Linked DNA regions of Lonchura striata. The protein of the gene in region 1 interacts with the protein of each later gene in a biochemical or structural test. Links are inferred from orthologs where the notes say so. Each region holds a gene or a part of one and is shown in the gene's direction. Other genes may lie near its edges. The genes, in order: RAPGEF2 and RAP1A.

What was found.
Region 2: the proteins of RAPGEF2 (region 1) and RAP1A form a complex in vitro, tested with the Homo sapiens proteins (2 studies listed by BioGRID and IntAct, with this or other methods). The link is inferred for Lonchura striata from reciprocal best matches to the Homo sapiens genes RAPGEF2 and RAP1A.

Annotation. Positions count from the first base shown.
Region 1 is NC_134606.1:40,592,607-40,600,828, reverse strand, and holds the start of RAPGEF2 (rap guanine nucleotide exchange factor 2), read left to right. Parts: upstream 1-4,544; 5' UTR 4,545-4,616; coding exon 4,617-4,685; intron 4,686-8,222. UniProt on the Homo sapiens protein: Functions as a guanine nucleotide exchange factor (GEF), which activates Rap and Ras family of small GTPases by exchanging bound GDP for free GTP in a cAMP-dependent manner.
Region 2 is NC_134632.1:5,464,774-5,472,851, forward strand, and holds the start of RAP1A (ras-related protein Rap-1A), read left to right. Parts: upstream 1-4,903; 5' UTR 4,904-4,967; intron 4,968-8,078. UniProt on the Homo sapiens protein: Counteracts the mitogenic function of Ras, at least partly because it can interact with Ras GAPs and RAF in a competitive manner. Together with ITGB1BP1, regulates KRIT1 localization to microtubules and membranes.

The DNA of each region.
Region 1 (8,222 bases):
GCTTCTTTGTATCTCAGAATACCTAAGAAGTTTAAAAGTTGCTACTTTTGTGTCTCTTTTCACAGACGGGGAAGGTGGGGCAGATGTTGACCTGAGGTCTGGAGCACACCTTCCCAGCAGGGTACCAGGAGAGAAGACCTCCCATCTTCACTTTTACTCCTGAGGGATGAGGGGCAGACCTGTACCGTGGTCACAAGCACAGAGCAAGTTTGTGTAGATGTTCCAGACCTTCAGAAACACACACCTGACCTTCAAGAGCTGCTGCAGATTTGTTCAGTGCTCACACAGTGTGTAGCACAGTTCTGCTGTGCCTCCTGGGTGCTGCTGCAGTACAGCCACCTTTCCTTTTGTTTGGGCACCTTTATCAGTACAGCTGAAGGGAACACTGTGTGGACTGTGAATTCCTCTCCAAGATCATATAAATACTTGGACGGCACATGCTGTTTCTCTAGTATTAATCTAACTAGCTAGAGCTGGTTTGCATACATCTGCAGCTACAGCAGAAGTTTAATGATAAATACGCCCAAATGTAGCTATGCAAATAGTGGCAAATTCTGAATAAATGCATGAAATGCATTATAGTAGTCAAAAGTTCTTCTGTTTTTCCTTCAATAAAAAAAACAAAACAAAGGATGATTTTTCCTTTATGGCACAGGCCAGGTTCTCTTTTGTAATCTTCAGAATTTCATACATCTTATGAGTATAAAAGGATCATAAAACCTGTGGTAAACATTCAAGAATTATTTTACTATGGTCTGAATTAGCCTTCTACCTATCAGAGGTGCAGAGTGGTTGTTCCATATTGCGCCCATACATAAATGATTACTGGACAACAAATATCCACAATAACAGAGCATGTTATGTAAAAAATGAACAGACAAAACCACACAAACAAACAAGCAAACTCATATGCCCTTCATCATAATGCAGAAGGTACTAAAAACTGCAATTGCAAGTGGTAGTAATCCCAGCCATGTATAAATCCCAGAAGTGGGAATCATTCTTGGAAATGATGCCACCCTAAAGAGAGAGCATAGAGGCTAATCTTATTTAAAGGATAAGATACTCTCTCCTTGGTAGTGGCCTTACTTGTACCTAAAATAATTAATATTTTACTTAAAATCCAACAAAATTGGCTTCTGCCCAGTCCAGAGGGGATGGCTACTGTTCTCAAGGTCAACTCTGGAGGGGTTCACCAGGCCAATACCTCTGTTCCCCAATAACTGTCTACCTCCATGAATGGTTATGGAAGTATCTTTTTATGGTTGCCAAGAAGAAAGATATGGGAAGGAGTAGGGCAATTCTAAGGGCTGGAGTTTGACTGCATGAATCTGCTTCACCTGCTGTGCTATCTCCAGTTGATAGATGGAAACAAGTACTTACCCAAGAAATGGGAGAAAGGAGCATCCCTGGGCTTATAACCATACAGACTGTTGATAATGCTAAACTCCCTCAAAATGGCAGTGTTTTATTTCTTACCAGGGCAGACTGGTGCATCCCAAGCAAGCCAAGCATCTAACTGTGGGTGACTAACTACAGGTGTAATGAATTGAAAGTCATATGGCTAAGCTAAGTGCAAGCTTTTCAAAGTGTATTTTCTTTAAAATGAGGTTTAGCAAATGAACAAAATGTTCCCAGAACTGCTGAATTTGTTTTCTTAGCATTTTAGTAACTGTTTGACCTGACCATTTCAAATTACCACTTGAAAGAAATGGACATATTCAGGAGGGCAGATACCCTGTCTTTCTAAGGCAAAATACTTCTATAAAATAACATAGCTATTACTTCTAGCTATCCAAAAAAGATATTATGCTGAGCTGTCATATTTTGTGTTGCAGCGTTTTCATACTGTTGAAATAGCAACATTATATGAACTGCATGTGTATAGTTAACTCTTGGTTTCCTGGTGTAAGATGGGTAGGAAACCTGTGTAATGTATTACCATGACCAGAAAAACACTCCCCCTCAAAACAAACAAACAAACAAAAAAACCACCAACCAACCCAATCCATTGTAAATAAGGGTAAAGCTAGATAATATATCCTGAAGAGTAACCAATAAGCAAAATGAATGGCATGTCCTGGTATATATGTGTATTTAAAATCATACTGATTTTTTGTTGAAGATGAAAAACCGGAAGGCAGTAAGACTAAGAGAAAATGTAAGTTGCAAAAGCATTTGACACTGTAAATTATGTTTTGTTGAATACTTGCAGTGAAAAATGGGGGTTTCTGGAGATAATTGCATGTTTTCTCAAGTAATAACTGTCCTTACTCTGAATCTTGATGATTATTTACTGATTTATTGTTTATTTTTTTCTATTCAGAAGTAACTAGACTGATTTCAGCAAGAGAAAAAAAAATGGCATAAAGGACATGCTAGTATCCACCATGGAGGATATGAATAATCAGAAGTATTTGCTTTATACAAATATGTTGCTTACAGACACAAGAAAAGGTGTTAACACAACACATCCTTAAATATTATTGAGAAGTTGTTGAGTATATTTGTACATAGTTCTCTATGTACAGTTCTCTTCTTTCATTCATTCCCATTTCTAACAAGTCACGTAATGTGTTATAGGCCTTTGACACAGATCTATAACCATCGAGATTTGTGACACTGATCAGAATACAATGAGAGCCCTGAAATCCCATTCTCTGAAGAGGAATATCCCTATGAATCACAGGTATTGTGTTACCAGACAGCACAGCAAAAAATTAACCAGAGCAAAACACTCGACTTGATGCTGTTACAGCTAATAGGTCTGAAATGAAAGATAATTGCATATTAAAATAGAGTGGGTAGCTCTGTTTTGATGTAGAGATATAAAGATGTCAGGCAAGCTAGGCTGCAGCAGCAGGGAATGGGTGCCCTGAAGTGATTGAGGAGTGAAGCCCAAGAGAGCATTCCTCACATTCCTGTGGCACTCCTGCTATACATATGCCCCCCAAAAAAAGGGCATTCCAGCACTCCGGATTGGTAAACTGAGCTGCAGAAAAGCTGGCACTTTTCTATAGCTGCAGGCTTGATTAATTTGAAGGAATTATTATCATCACTGGATGATGAACACGAGGCATATTTAAACTGTTATTTTTTAGGGCACAGGACATGACATTTTCAATCTGTTACTAAAAAAAAAAAAAAAAAAAATTAAAATCCCCCATAAGGACTTCTAGTAAGCACCGATAAGCAAGATATAGAGAATGTGGAGCACTCCCTAGTATTTTCCAATGATCTGCCCAGAATAATTGGTATTACTGCAAAAATATTTTGCTGACACATATGAGTAGGATTAGCCCAAAGAGCTATCTTTGTTAATGAGCCGTATCTAGAAATTGAGTAGGTTTAGTAGATTCCTGTCTGAAGACACAGCATTTTTGAGAGCCACTTGTGTCTAAAAGCGTAACATTTTTTTCTCCTGGGACTAGCAGTGTATGTTTGGTAAGGAAAAGATGGTTATCTCTGGGAATTTTCACAAATACAAACATGAAATAAAGATGACACTACCTTACTTGGAATTGAAATGTGACTGCTAGTGACTGGGAATTAAAGAGATTTATTAGTGTTGACATTATTTACATTGTGTGATCCGTATCAGCGAAGGGTACACATCACTTGTGAAAGCAAATACATTAATAGTATTACCCCGCCGCTAATGGCACGCTAATAATACTTCCATGGTTGGCGTTTGTCAGGCTGCTGCTGAGACGGGCTCGGTGTCGCGGTAAACAAAGAAAATCAGCCATGTTGCGAGATCCTTTATTCTTTAAAAACTTAAGTTCACGTGAGAAGAATCCGCCGCTAGATAACCCCCAGAACAGTGATAAATTAACGATTTCACACCCCTCCCTTCCCCGTTTTTGCCCCACATAGCAATGACAGAGGGGACAGCCGGCTGATACGGATTACTTTTGAGAAGCGTGACAACAGGTGGCCTCCCCGAAGTCACTAGATTCGGCAGACCAAGTCTTTATCAAGTCTTTATTTTTTTTTTTTTTTTTTGGCGTCCAGGTTGCCCATCACCAGTATCCGTGCACAGGGAGCACCGCCGAAGCTGCGATGATGCGCGTCCCTCGGGACCATGGCGGCGGCCGCTCAGACTTCTTTTTTGTGGTTAAACCTGGCCAGGATGTGTTCCCAGGGGGAGGATGCTGAGGCACCGTAGCCGGAGGGGACCCTGCCGGCGGCGACCCCCGGCGACCCGCCCCCCCCCTCCTCCTCCGTCCCGCCTCGGCCCGCCCCCCGCCGCTCCGCCTCCCCGAGCCGGCAACTTCCCCGTCGCCGAGGCGGGCGCGGAGTCCCCCATCAGCCCGGATGGGAGGAGGAGGAAGAGGAGGGAGGAGGCGACGAGGACGGTGCCCGAGGGGATGCGGCGGAGCGGGCCGGCGGGAGGCGTAGAGCCGGCTCGGGAGGGAGCGCCGAGCCCTGGTCGCCGCCGCTGCCCCCGGCGGGGCTCGGCCGCCGCCGGCAGCTCCGGGCGGCGGCGCTGCTGAGCCCGCGGTGCCTGCGCGCCGCCGCTCCCCGCTCCTCGCCCGCTCCGGCCGCGCAGCGCCAGGCCGCGGCCGCCCTCCCCCAGCGCCTCCCGGGCGGCGGCGGGAGGCGGCAGGGGCGCGATGGCGTCCTACGTGGATAACAGCTTCCGCCAGGCGGTGATGAAGAACCCGGCGGAGCGCAGCCCCCAGGTAAGCGCGCCGTGCCCCGCGGCTCCCGCGGGCGGAGGGGCCGCCCCGCTGCCCCCGCCCGCCCCGCGCAGCCCCGGCCGGGGCGGTCGGAGCCCCACGGCCCCGCTTCGGGCGGCGCGGCCACGGCTGACCCCGCTCCCAGCCCCCGCCGAACTCCCCAGCGCCGAATTCCCGGTCGGCAGCTCCCGGGAAGGGAAGGCGCGCATTAACGCGACAACTTTCCTCCTACTCCCTAATTTTGGGGGAAGGAGAGGGAGAAACGCCAGCTGGGTTTGTTTTGAAGGTTGCTTCCGGTGAAAAGAAAATGAACTTAGAGTACAATTTTTCGGTGATGTGGTTTTCCTTTTTTCCTTTCTTCTCTCTCTCTCTCTCTCTCTCTTTTTTTTTTTTTTTCCCTCTGTGTGTCAGTGTGTGTGTTTTGTTATTGCCCCGGAGTACGGGTGGCTCAGGATTTGAATTCAATCCCTACTTTTACATAGCTGGCTGGAGCTGGCAGTGCTGTTTCATAATGTAGGGGCTGAGGTCAGTGGTATTCTTGGCAAGTCCTTGCTCTCCAAAGTAGGGTGAAATCCTTACACAATGGCACCAGGCAGGAATTTTTTAGATACCTGCGCCGCGATCCTGGAGCCCCCTTTATCAGAGGAGTGTGTGAGTCGAAGCTGTTTGTAAGCGTAGTTGCGCTTAGAGAGGCTGAGAAAGGTTAAGCTGGGGACTGGAGTGCGTACGGAAACATTTTGACTTAACATGACCTGAAAAACAACTAAACTGAATGAGTTCCTTCTGCTCCCGAACGGTTGCTGCAGTGGCTGTTGCTGCCAACTGTCTAAAGACTAATAAGCTTTACACTGATCCCCACATCAAGCTGCGGTTCAATAGCTAATGATACAAGGAGTTACTTTGCTTGGAGTTGTAATGCCATCTGTCCTATTTTCTAAAGGCTTGTCCTGCTCTCTGAGCAGTCCCTGTATTCGGGTTTTGGGGAAGAGATGCTGTTACTGATTGTTTTGGCAGGCGTCTGACTGGCTGGTGATGATTTCAAATTGGGGCAAAGAGGAAACCTTGACTTCTGCTCAGCACCCATAAGTCATTCCTCCTACTATAGATACGTCATTGTGGTAATGTTATTTTTATCCCTGTACTCATGGAATCTGTGTGAGAAAATAAAACTTCTCATGGAAAAACATACTGACTGCATAGGCATCGTATGTGGCATGCCTTTTTGGCAACTCTGTTTTTTTCTTCTTTTTTTAAAAAAAAAAAGAAAAGGAAGCTGCTTCTGGAACATGTTTTTGTGGTGCTAAACTTGTTTCTCTGTCCTTGTTTGACCTTTTCCAAATGTCTGTTTGCCTTGAGTGCTGGACCCAGCCCTTCAGCGTGTTGTGAAAGCTGAAGGAGGCTGAGTGCTCCCTCCTGGAGAAGACACTCTCTGCAAACTCGCAGCGAGGTCCCTTGAATTGGTAGAGGCATAGATTCCAGCTGGGGGGAGCCTAGCAGCAGTGTCCAGCCTCAGGACATGGTTATGGAAGCACGGTGGGGTGCTCAGGAGGAGAGATGCAGGCAGATGCTCAAAAACCACTAGGTCAGGCTGTGGGGCCACCAGGCTGGGCTTGGGGGATGATGCTTTCCCTGTGGTGTGAACTGTTAAACTTTCTCATGTCCTTGCCAGTTGGCCTTGCTGTCTAGAAGGGATAATAAGGAAACACAGAAAGGTAGAGAGTAAGAAATGACGCAGTGAAGAATCCAGCCTGAATGCAGGGATAAAGCCCAGTGAAGGGCACAGAGCAGAGAGCTAAATTGGGAACACCAGGGCTGCGTTAGTGCTGGAAAACTTCCCCAGTCAGCACGCTGGCAGCCTGCTGTGGCAATCACCACAGGAAAAGAAACCCACCCTTAAATCCATGAAACTGACACTGACCCAAAATAATCCACAAATAAGACCAAGTATGTGGGAAATCTAATGCATTGTTAGCGCTGGAAATACTTGAAACTGGTGGTGCCCTCCTGTTGCTGCTGGAGAGATTGGGCTTGCAGCAGAAAACCTGGTGTTTTTGTAAATGGCTCGTGTTGAATTATGTGTGTTAATTTTCTACTGATGGTTCTCTGTTAAGTAAGTTTGATTTTATTTTACAACTGTATTGCAATTTGAAAGAAATATGTTTATGCACTTCATCTTTCATCATTACATGAAAAGGAAAAAATATATAGAAATGTACAAAGACCTTGTTTTTCCTTCTTCCCTTCAAGTAACTTATTGTCTCTTTACTTGTCTTTTCCTGTCCTTGCTATGCTATCTCTAAAAGAGAGCTACTTAATTTTGGTTTTTGGAAAGTCATGAGGGTTTTTTAAAGTTGAGAGAGGGTTGGAAAGAGAAAATATATTTATCATATTCATGTCAGTGCAGGAAATAGCAAGGGAAGTATGTTAGTAGCATATTTGCTTCTTTCTTATGTTAGCAAACTCTTTGGGGCTCAGCTTCTCCCAAATAATGATGAGGTAAATATCTGTTTGACATTTCTATTCACCCTGGACTGTCAGGGTGCAAATTTGGCACCATGCCTTCACTGCAGGCTCAGAGGACAGGAGTGACAGAATGATAGCCAGTATGTACAACTTAGAGAAGTAGGTCTGATAAACATTGTTGGGGAAAGCAAACTTAACTTGGCATGAACATTTATAGTGCAAAAATCTCCTGGTAATTTTGGATTGAACTGATTTTTTTTTTCCTTGAGGTAAACAGTTTATTCTGCAACTGCTTTTGTAAATTTATAACTTTATATCTCTTTGGTATATCCTCCTTTACAGAGTGTTCCTGACTTTTGTGAATCACAACTCGGTATTCTGTTGGCTAAAGAAAATGAGAAATAAAAGAAAAGGATTTATACGTGGCCTGTACTTTAACATGCCTGTTGTGTAACTCTTCTCTTTAATTGATGTATTAAACTATTCATTTTCTCTTTGAAGACATGAACTAGGAAGTTAATTTAACTACTTTGGGGAATCTAGCTTTTAAATGTTCATAAATTACAAATGGTTTTATGCCCTTAAGCTGTGAGTAATAGTGATCTAGTTTTTTTCTCTCCTAACATCCTCTCATATGGACTGTTATAGCTTTGATTCTTTATAAAAATTCTTTTTGGCATCATAGGCCATTTTAGAAAGCATGCAGTTTTATATTGTTGTAGCTTGGCTTGAAAAAATAGGGCTGCTTTTGTTTTCAAACAAGAGAAACTGAGCCCTAATCTTTCTTTATCCTAACAACTCATTTGCATGGCATGGTATATGAATAGCTGGTTGCTTCAGAAACTCTGCATACTGTTCACTGTTTTCATGCCATGTGGTGACGTCTGTAGGAAGAAATTTTTTGAGTGTGTGCCTTATACATGTTAGATGCCCAAGGTTTGCTTCTGGGAACTGCCAGTGTGGTACACCAGGGCAGTTCAACACAGCAGTAATGGAGAGCAGCGATGCGACAGCATCGCACCAGATCTTCAGGGTGGAGGGGAGAACTGTACAGTAGCCCTTAGTTTGATACTTATG
Region 2 (8,078 bases), on another chromosome or scaffold:
GGAGGTTTGGTACCCAGAGATGGAGGAGGCACCGCCCGGCCACGGGCTGAGCGAGTGCCTGGCTCCACAGGGCTGCACAGGAAGAGGTTGGGCAATAGAAAATGTGTGCTTGCAGCTGCCTCTGAGCAGTGAGCACAGTTTGTCAGCTGGAAGAATAACACTTGTTGCTGCTCACGTTGAGCTCTCTGTCCCAGTTTCTCCTGCTTGAGGCTGGGCCTGTCCCCGCAGGGCTTGGGGAGTTCCAGGCTCCTCTGGTTTGGGTTTTTCTTGTGCAAATGCAGCAGCTCTGCCCCAGCCGTGCTGCCAGCTGTGGATGGGGTTAGTGGGGGCAGAACCAGGCCCTGGGCTGTGCTCTGGGGGCTCTGTGCAGGTGCCTGGGAGCGCCTGGGAGCTAAGCCAGGAGAGGTGCCCAGGCTGCTGGCTCTGCTCAGGTTCAGCTCTCTGAGGGTCCTTTCCTTCACAGGCTCCTCTGGGAGGAAATCCAGGCTGCTAGAGCTTTGGACAGGGAAATTCCTGCTTGCAGAAAGCAGAGAGCGAGCAGCCCGTTGTGCTGCTGTCACCCTGAACCATGGGAATCCCTGTCCATGGCAATTGGCAGCTCCCTGCCGTAGCTGAGCAGGGGAAGTGGGATTTGTGCTTCCTTCCCCAGTGAGTTTCACAGCCTCTGATGGTATTTATAGAGCCCTTGAACCAGAAACCCCGATCAGCCTCTGCCTTTCTCCTGACTCTGCAGAGCTGCAGACACCAGACAGACTCCAGGCCCTTCTGGCATGCTCACAAGGAAGGGAAATGTTTGGGAAGCTGCAAAAGAAGCCTCCCTGCATCCCATGTCCCTTTCGGAGCCACAAAGGAGGAAAGCCCAGGCTTGCTGGTGGTTTTGGTAGGGGAGGTCTTGTTCCTGCCTCCTCACCCTTTCTGCAGTCCCGGTGCTCACATCCTTAGGGCTCAAACCTGGAAAATACCTGAGTTTGCACTGGGATCCAGCCTTGCCTGGGATTTCAAGGGATTTAGGGACACTGGATGGGCTGGGGAGGAGCATGGCCCCAGCACTGCTGCCCAGGAGCAAAGCCAGTGCAGGCTTTCCCTTTGGAAGCCTGCTGGAGCTCTGCAGAGCCCTGCCTTGGGACCAGCCACCCCTCCCAGACCCCACAGCTCCCCTCTAATCTGCCTAATTGCCTGGTAGCTTCCCAGCCAGCCAGTGGGCTTGGAACAAAGCCAGCCTGCAGTGGGAGCAGGGATCAGGGATGGGGCTTCCAGGGAATCTGGTCCTGTCTGCTCTGGGAACAGCTCAGGCTCGGAGCTCTCCTGCCCTGCAGAGCTGGGGAAGCTGGGCTGAGTTAAATGATCCCTTCTGCTCGGCAAGGACAGCGTGGGAGGTGAGCTGTGAGCTCGGTGACCCTCAGCCAGGGCAGCTGCTGGCAGCCATGTGCCTGCTCACTGCTAATTACATCATTAGTCATTATTCATAATTATACACTGCAATCTCATCTGGAAAGAAAATATTATGCTTGCACTTCAAAGGCTTGTGTTGAGGTCTTTGGAATGAGCGTTTTTCTCTTGATTCTTCCCTGACTAGAGTTTAAAGAGTGATTATTGTAAGTTTAGAGAGCACCAGCTCCTTCCTTGTGCAGCTTAAGTTCAGACAGGAGCAGGATGCAGTCAGCACCTTCACTTCTGACAGCCAGGGCACAGGATAACGTGTAATTAGCCTGCATGGTGTCAAACCCACTTTCATTTACTTCCAGCCCTCTGATTCTATCAGCCAGGAATCCAAGGTCATTATGCAATCACAAATTGTTTCTGAATTTCATTAAATCAGCAAATGGGCCTTAGCTACATATTTACATCAGCTGAACTTGTGATAATTTATCCAATTGGGCAATTATTGTTTTGGAATAAAAGAAGTCCCGAAGGATTCTGCTTCATATTAATTTGCCTGCAGAAGACTCAGTGCAACCTCGGCAACTCAGCTGCAAAAGCAGGTGAAAAGTTGCAATCCTGTTGCAGGTTCTGGGATAAACAAGTGTTTTCCTTTCAGTCTTTTACCACTGCCATACAGCAGGAAAAGGGGAGTGAAATCTTGGTGTAATTTAATATGAATGGATTTAGAGTTCAGGAAAGAAGCTATTGTGGCAACTCCTGCTTTGTACAAACAGATGGGCTGTGAGAAATGACACCTTTTGCAATAAAACTGCACAGGGACGGGTCACTGGATTTCTTGGGCTGCGTCCAGGACATTACAGGCTGTGTCCTGTATGTGACAGGGTGCAGGGAATCGATTCTCTGTGCTCACCTCCTGTGCTGCTGCTGAGCTGGTGTGCAGTGGAGCTGGGGCTGGTGCAGGTTCCAGCCCTCCAGGCAGGTGTCCCTGCAGTCATGGACTTGCCAGAAGTAGGGAAAGCACCCAGGAGACACAGGCGTGGATGTCACTGCCTGCTGCCAGAGGGGATTTGCTGACCACAGCCCACTGCTGGGCGAGAGCTACGGAGCAGCAGGCAGGAGGGAGAGCTCTGGCTCAGGGGCTGCATCTGCCCGAGCGAGGGCAGGACTGGGAGAAACGGATCCAGATGTTTGCCCTGCACGAGTCACTAGGAAAAGTGCCTCTGAGTTCACTGAACTTGGCCCTGCTTCTCCTCTTCTAATCATTTCATAGCCAGGTTCACACTCATCCAGATCTAATTTCATGTACTTGCAAAGCCTGACTCAGCAATAAATGTTATCAGCCTCCACTGAAACCTGCAGAAAACGGGGGAAGAAGTCAACCTTCCCAGAACACACATCAAAAAGGAGCTCTGTCTTGCTGAGTCAGGCCCTCACTGTGCCTGGACCCTTATTGTTTTGAAACTTGGAAGATGGTCCACAAGCCATGAAATAGATAAGTGTGTGATTCTTAGATACAATAAAACTCTTCAGTTGGTGTTCAGTGGGAAGAGCTGCAAATGTCTTGATATCTGGGGCAAAGCTTGTTAAAGCTTTAATTTCAAAGGAAATTTGGGGTGAAGCCTTCAGAATGCTCAAATGTACACTGAGTCTTTTAAAGGAATTGCATCCCTTGCCGTTTCTGCCCATAGGAATGTGTTTTTACACAGCTTTTAAAACAGAAGTTACTGCTGATTTTGTCCCTGCCTGTTTTCCAGACACAGGCAATGTTTTTAAACATTGACCTAGTAACTTCCTAAGTTCATAGATTTCACGATAACATTTGTACTCTGAAGAAACGAGGTGCTCAACCACGAGTGCTGAGCATCCTTCAAGGCAGATGCTTTTGCCACCCCGACTGTCCCACTGTGCCTGAGCCTCTCAGGGCTGAGGCTGCCAAATCCTGCAAAGTGTGGAAATCTTTTGCTGACATCGCCCTGCCTCCAGCGACTCCAATGCAGCCGTGATTCACCTGGCTCCCAGCACGGTGGTCCCCAGGGAAGGAGACACCTCTTAAGCCATAAAAACAGGGATTTACAGATGGGTATCAGCAGCCACAAATTGTACCTGGAAGCAAAATTGTGCGCTGTGTATTTATTTCTGCTGCACGCACAGAGCTGTGAGAGGAGAACTGGAGCACTTTCAGTTACAGAGGGTGAGTGGGGACGCTGAGCTCTGTGTGCCTCCTGGCTGCTCACTTGCTGGGCATTTTGGATAAGTCATTTAATCTTTGTTTTCTCATCTGTACAGCCACACAAGTAATATTTAGCATTTTTGTTGGAGTTCTGGATGAGAGGCAGCATGACTGCTAAAATATTGTTGCTGTAGCGTGTGACCTCAGGGAATCTGCTCGTGTCCCTGAAGTTTTGCAAGCGGCGGTGGGGAGTGTGGGGAGGCCCGTGGGTGTGCTGCTGCTGCTGCTGGCACCGTCCTCTGCAGGAGCATCCCCAGGGACAGCCGCAGTGCTCCTCCTGTCCCCGGTTACGTGAGGAGGTGACAGTGCTTGGAGCTCGAGAGATCCCTCTGCACCTCGTGGAGAGCGGGCATCGCAACCACGGAAGCTACTACAGCTCCTCTGGGGTATTTATGCATTCTTAACAAGAAAAAAAGCCCCTGAACTTTATTGACTGTTGACATTAGGTTTTCTGGAGTGTGCAGTTTGGAGCTGAATTATAGTTGAAGTTGGGGCTAATGAGGCCATCTCCCAGATCAGCGACTGTGCAGGACTTCTGACCTGATCCTCTCTGTCCGGCTGCCGTCACCTACAAACCTCGGTGACAAAAACACCATCAGGACCTGTATGTGCCGTTCCCTCTTCCCCAGTTTTATCTGTTTCGTGTCAATTACATGTGCACTTCCGTGTTACAGCTCTTTCTTTTCATAGTTTTCTACAAAAATAAACAAAACACTTTGAAGTGCTCTCCCGGGTCGGAACCGGGACGGAACCGGGACAGAACCGGGACGGAGCCGGGACGGAGCCGGGATGGAACCCGGACGGAGCCGGGACGGAGCCGGGATGGAACCCGGACGGAGCCGGGACAGAACCGGGACGGAGCCGGAACGGAGCCGGGACAGAACCGGGACAGAACCGGGACGGAACCGGGACGGAGCCGGAACGGAGCCGGGACAGAACCGGGACGGAGCCGGGACGGAGCCGGGACGGAACCCGGACGGAACCGGGACGGAGCCGGGACGGAACCGGGACGGAGCCGGGACAGAACCGGGACGGAACCGGCTCCGCCGGCCGCGCACCCCCGGGACAGAGCCGGGACGGAACCCGGACAGAACCGGGACGGAACCGGCCCCGCCGGCCGCGCACCCCCGGCCCGGCCCGAGCCCCGCACCTGCCCCGGCCCTCCCGGAACTCCGGCCGTCCCCGCCCGCCCCGCTGGCTCCTCCCCGGGCCGCGGCCGCGGAGGGCGGAGCGGACGCGGCGCCGCCGCCGCGCAGAGCAGCAGCGGCAGCGGCAGCGGCCCGGCCCGGCCCGAGCCCCGAGCCCGGCCCGCAGCGGCGGCGGAGCGGCGGCGGGAGGCGGCCCGGGGGCGGCGGTGAGCGGGGGCGGCGGCGGGCCGGGCCGGGCGGCGGCGGGCGGAGCGGCGGCCGCGGCCGTCCCGGCGGGCCCTGGAGGCCGCGCGGGCGGAGCGGGGCAGCGGCCGGCGCGGGGTCCGGCGGGGCCGGGCGGCGGCGGGGCCGCGCCGGCCGCTCCCTCCCGCGGCCCGGCCGGCAGCGCGGGGAGGCGGCTTGGCCCCGTCCGTCCGGCCGGCCCCGCCGGTCCGTCCCGCATCCATCGCGTGCGGCCCCGGGCGGGCTGCGCGCTGCCCGCGGTGCCGCCGGGCTCGGGATCAGCGCAATTGCCGCGGTGGCGGCGGGGTCAGGTGTGTGCGGTGCCCCGCTGCTCCCCGCGCTGGGAAGGGGCGCGGGGATCGTGCGGGGCCGAGGAGCGCCGGAGTGAAGGGACAGCGAGGCCGGAGGCACGGAGGGTGGGCTGGCACAGGCACGGCAGGACGGGGCACAGCCTGTACGAACCGGCCTGATGGGCGGCAGGAGGTTTGGGCAGCTGGGACAAGCCAAGGGGCAGCCCCCCGTGAGCCACGTGGAGCAGCGGGCTGGCCCATCCTCATCCTCCCCATCCTCACCCTCCTGTCCATCCCCATCCTCACCCTCCTGTCCATCCCCATCCTCACCCTCCTGTCCATCCCCATCCTCACCCTCCCAGCCCATCCTCATCCTCCACTCCCAAGGACTGGTTGTGTCAGACCACCTCAGCTCTGAAAAGGGTTCTTGCACTTCCTTCAGTCGCTTTAAAGAGAAACTGTGCTCTGTGTAGGGAAGCTTTGGTGTTTAGATACTTCTCGTTAATTGGTGCCTTTGCTTGCGATATTTGAGGTACAGGGCATGTGGGTTTGGTGCAGGGATTCCTGCGAAGTCTCCTCGGTGGGAAGGTTGGGGTTTGGATGCAGTGAGCCAGTTCCCCCTGACACAGAGCTGGAATTGGGTCTTGCTTTGCGCACAGCTTGGAAAGAGCTGCAAACAGGAAGGGCAAACGATGAAAACTGCGTTTTTTCCTTTCAGTAGCTTAACAGGGGAGATAATATATCTTAAAATAGTGTTTGACTTGAAAACGCCTGTCTGCCTTCGGAGTATTGTACCGGCACTCTGTAATTTCTGCTGCTGTTGTAATTCTCTCTGAGTAGTTGTGTTGCTCCACGCAAAGAGACACCAGATTATTTGAAGACTTGAGGAAAGCGTCTGTTCAGTTGACAGTGCCTGTCTGCTGTGAAATGTTTCACTGTTGTGATTTGTGTCATTGCCTTTTTCATGCTGAAATGGTGTGTCAGTAATTCTCCCTGGTGTAGCGGATCCTCGGATCTGAAAGGGTTTTAATGCGGGAATTTGTGAGACTCTCAGGAAGTAATGGATGAAGCTTGTAGAAACAGAGAATGGTGCATTAGCAAAGCTCTGTGCCTTTAATGAGAAGTTATCCAAAACCAGGCAAGTTAAAGGGAAGTTCCAGATGGAGCTTTTGTGGTCTCCGCAACTTTCTGAATTCACAGAAGCGATATATTTCACAAGTATGAAATGCTGTCTGATTATTCTGACATCATTATCACGTTGCTATAGTGACTTCATTGCGCTGGGAATGCCATGTTCACATCCGGTTGCTATGGAAAAAATCAGTGTCATAAATAAAAACATTTAATGTTCTGTTCATCCCTGCGGCAGGAAAAAAGGCATCGATTTATTGACGCGAGTGAAGACTGGCAACATATTCCAACAGAAGCGCTTAGTGCCAAGTCACAAACTGGGAAATTGTCGCTTGCCGCTCTCGGCAGATTGTCCCTTGCCTCTCTGTGTTGTGGCAGGTAGCAGAAGTTGTGAAATCCTGGGTTTGGAACGGAGGGTGACAGAGCGTCTGTCGTTCTTCAAGGTGGAGCCGGCAGGAAGTGCTGCGCTCGCACCGCTTCTAAAAATAATCTGTTTTTATGCACAGCGTTGGCGTGCCTCGCAGGAGCAGAGCTGCCCCGCTCAGGGCAGCTCCTGCACGGGATGGGGCTGCCCGGGAGCTGCGGGGCTGGGGAGCCTTAGGGCCAGCCTGGGATGGAGCTGTCCCAGGCCAGAGCTGTCCCACCTGGGCTGTCACCCCGGAGCTGTCCCAGCCGGGCTGTCCCACCTGGGCTGTCACCCCGGGCTGTCACCCCAGTGCCCGCCAGGCCGGAGCTGTCACCCCAGGCTGTCACCCTGGGGCTCCCCGGAGCCCAGCGCTGCCTGCCATCACGTGTCCTGGCTCTGGCGTGGCTGTTTTTAGGGTAAGTAGCTTTGCTGAAGGTTCTGAGAGGATCTCCTGCCAAACGGGCTGAATTAACTCGCACTGCCCAAGTCCAGCACAGGTTAATGCTTTTATTTGGAGACTGGTGTTTACACAGGGCATCAGAACAGTTTATATGTGAAGCCATGAGCTGCAAATACACGGACATAGGTTATTAGTGATACATTTCGTGGCTGCTCGGCCAGTCTGAGGACTGTTCTTAAAAAAACTGAAAAGTAATTAAATGGCAGGAGGGCAACATGTGGATGTGCTTGAACATTAAAGTTGTAATTGTATATTGAATCATCGTGCTGGGCATAAACAACAGCAAGCACTTGTTTGTACTTTATATTGCAGTGCTTTTTCTCGTACCCTGCACGTGCACAGCGCACTCGGTGGCACTTTGAACTCGTGCTCAGTGTTTAGAGAACAGATTGCTTCTGTGCAGCTTTGCAGACTTAAAAAAATCATCTTCAAGAGGAATCCTAATGCTCTGACAACAGGAACCTGTTATCTGCTTTCCTAGAGAAAACAAAGTGTATCTTTTGAACATACATAAGTTCAAACCTTTAGGCTTTATATTTGAAGTGTTTTTTATGTGTAGCTGTTTGAAGTTCAGGATTATCCTTGATCCAGTGTTACTTTCAACCTTGCCAAAATCAGCTTAGCTGGCTCTGGCTGTGGATGCTGATCAAAACTCTTGGGTTTTAGGGCACTATGGGAGACCTACTATTTTATCAGTTTCTTTTAATTTCTGATGAGCCACATTCATGTTGAACATCAGTCGCTTCTTATAACTTCGTGTATTTAATTCTGCAGAAGCAGATTCAAGAGAGACACAATTTTTAAAACT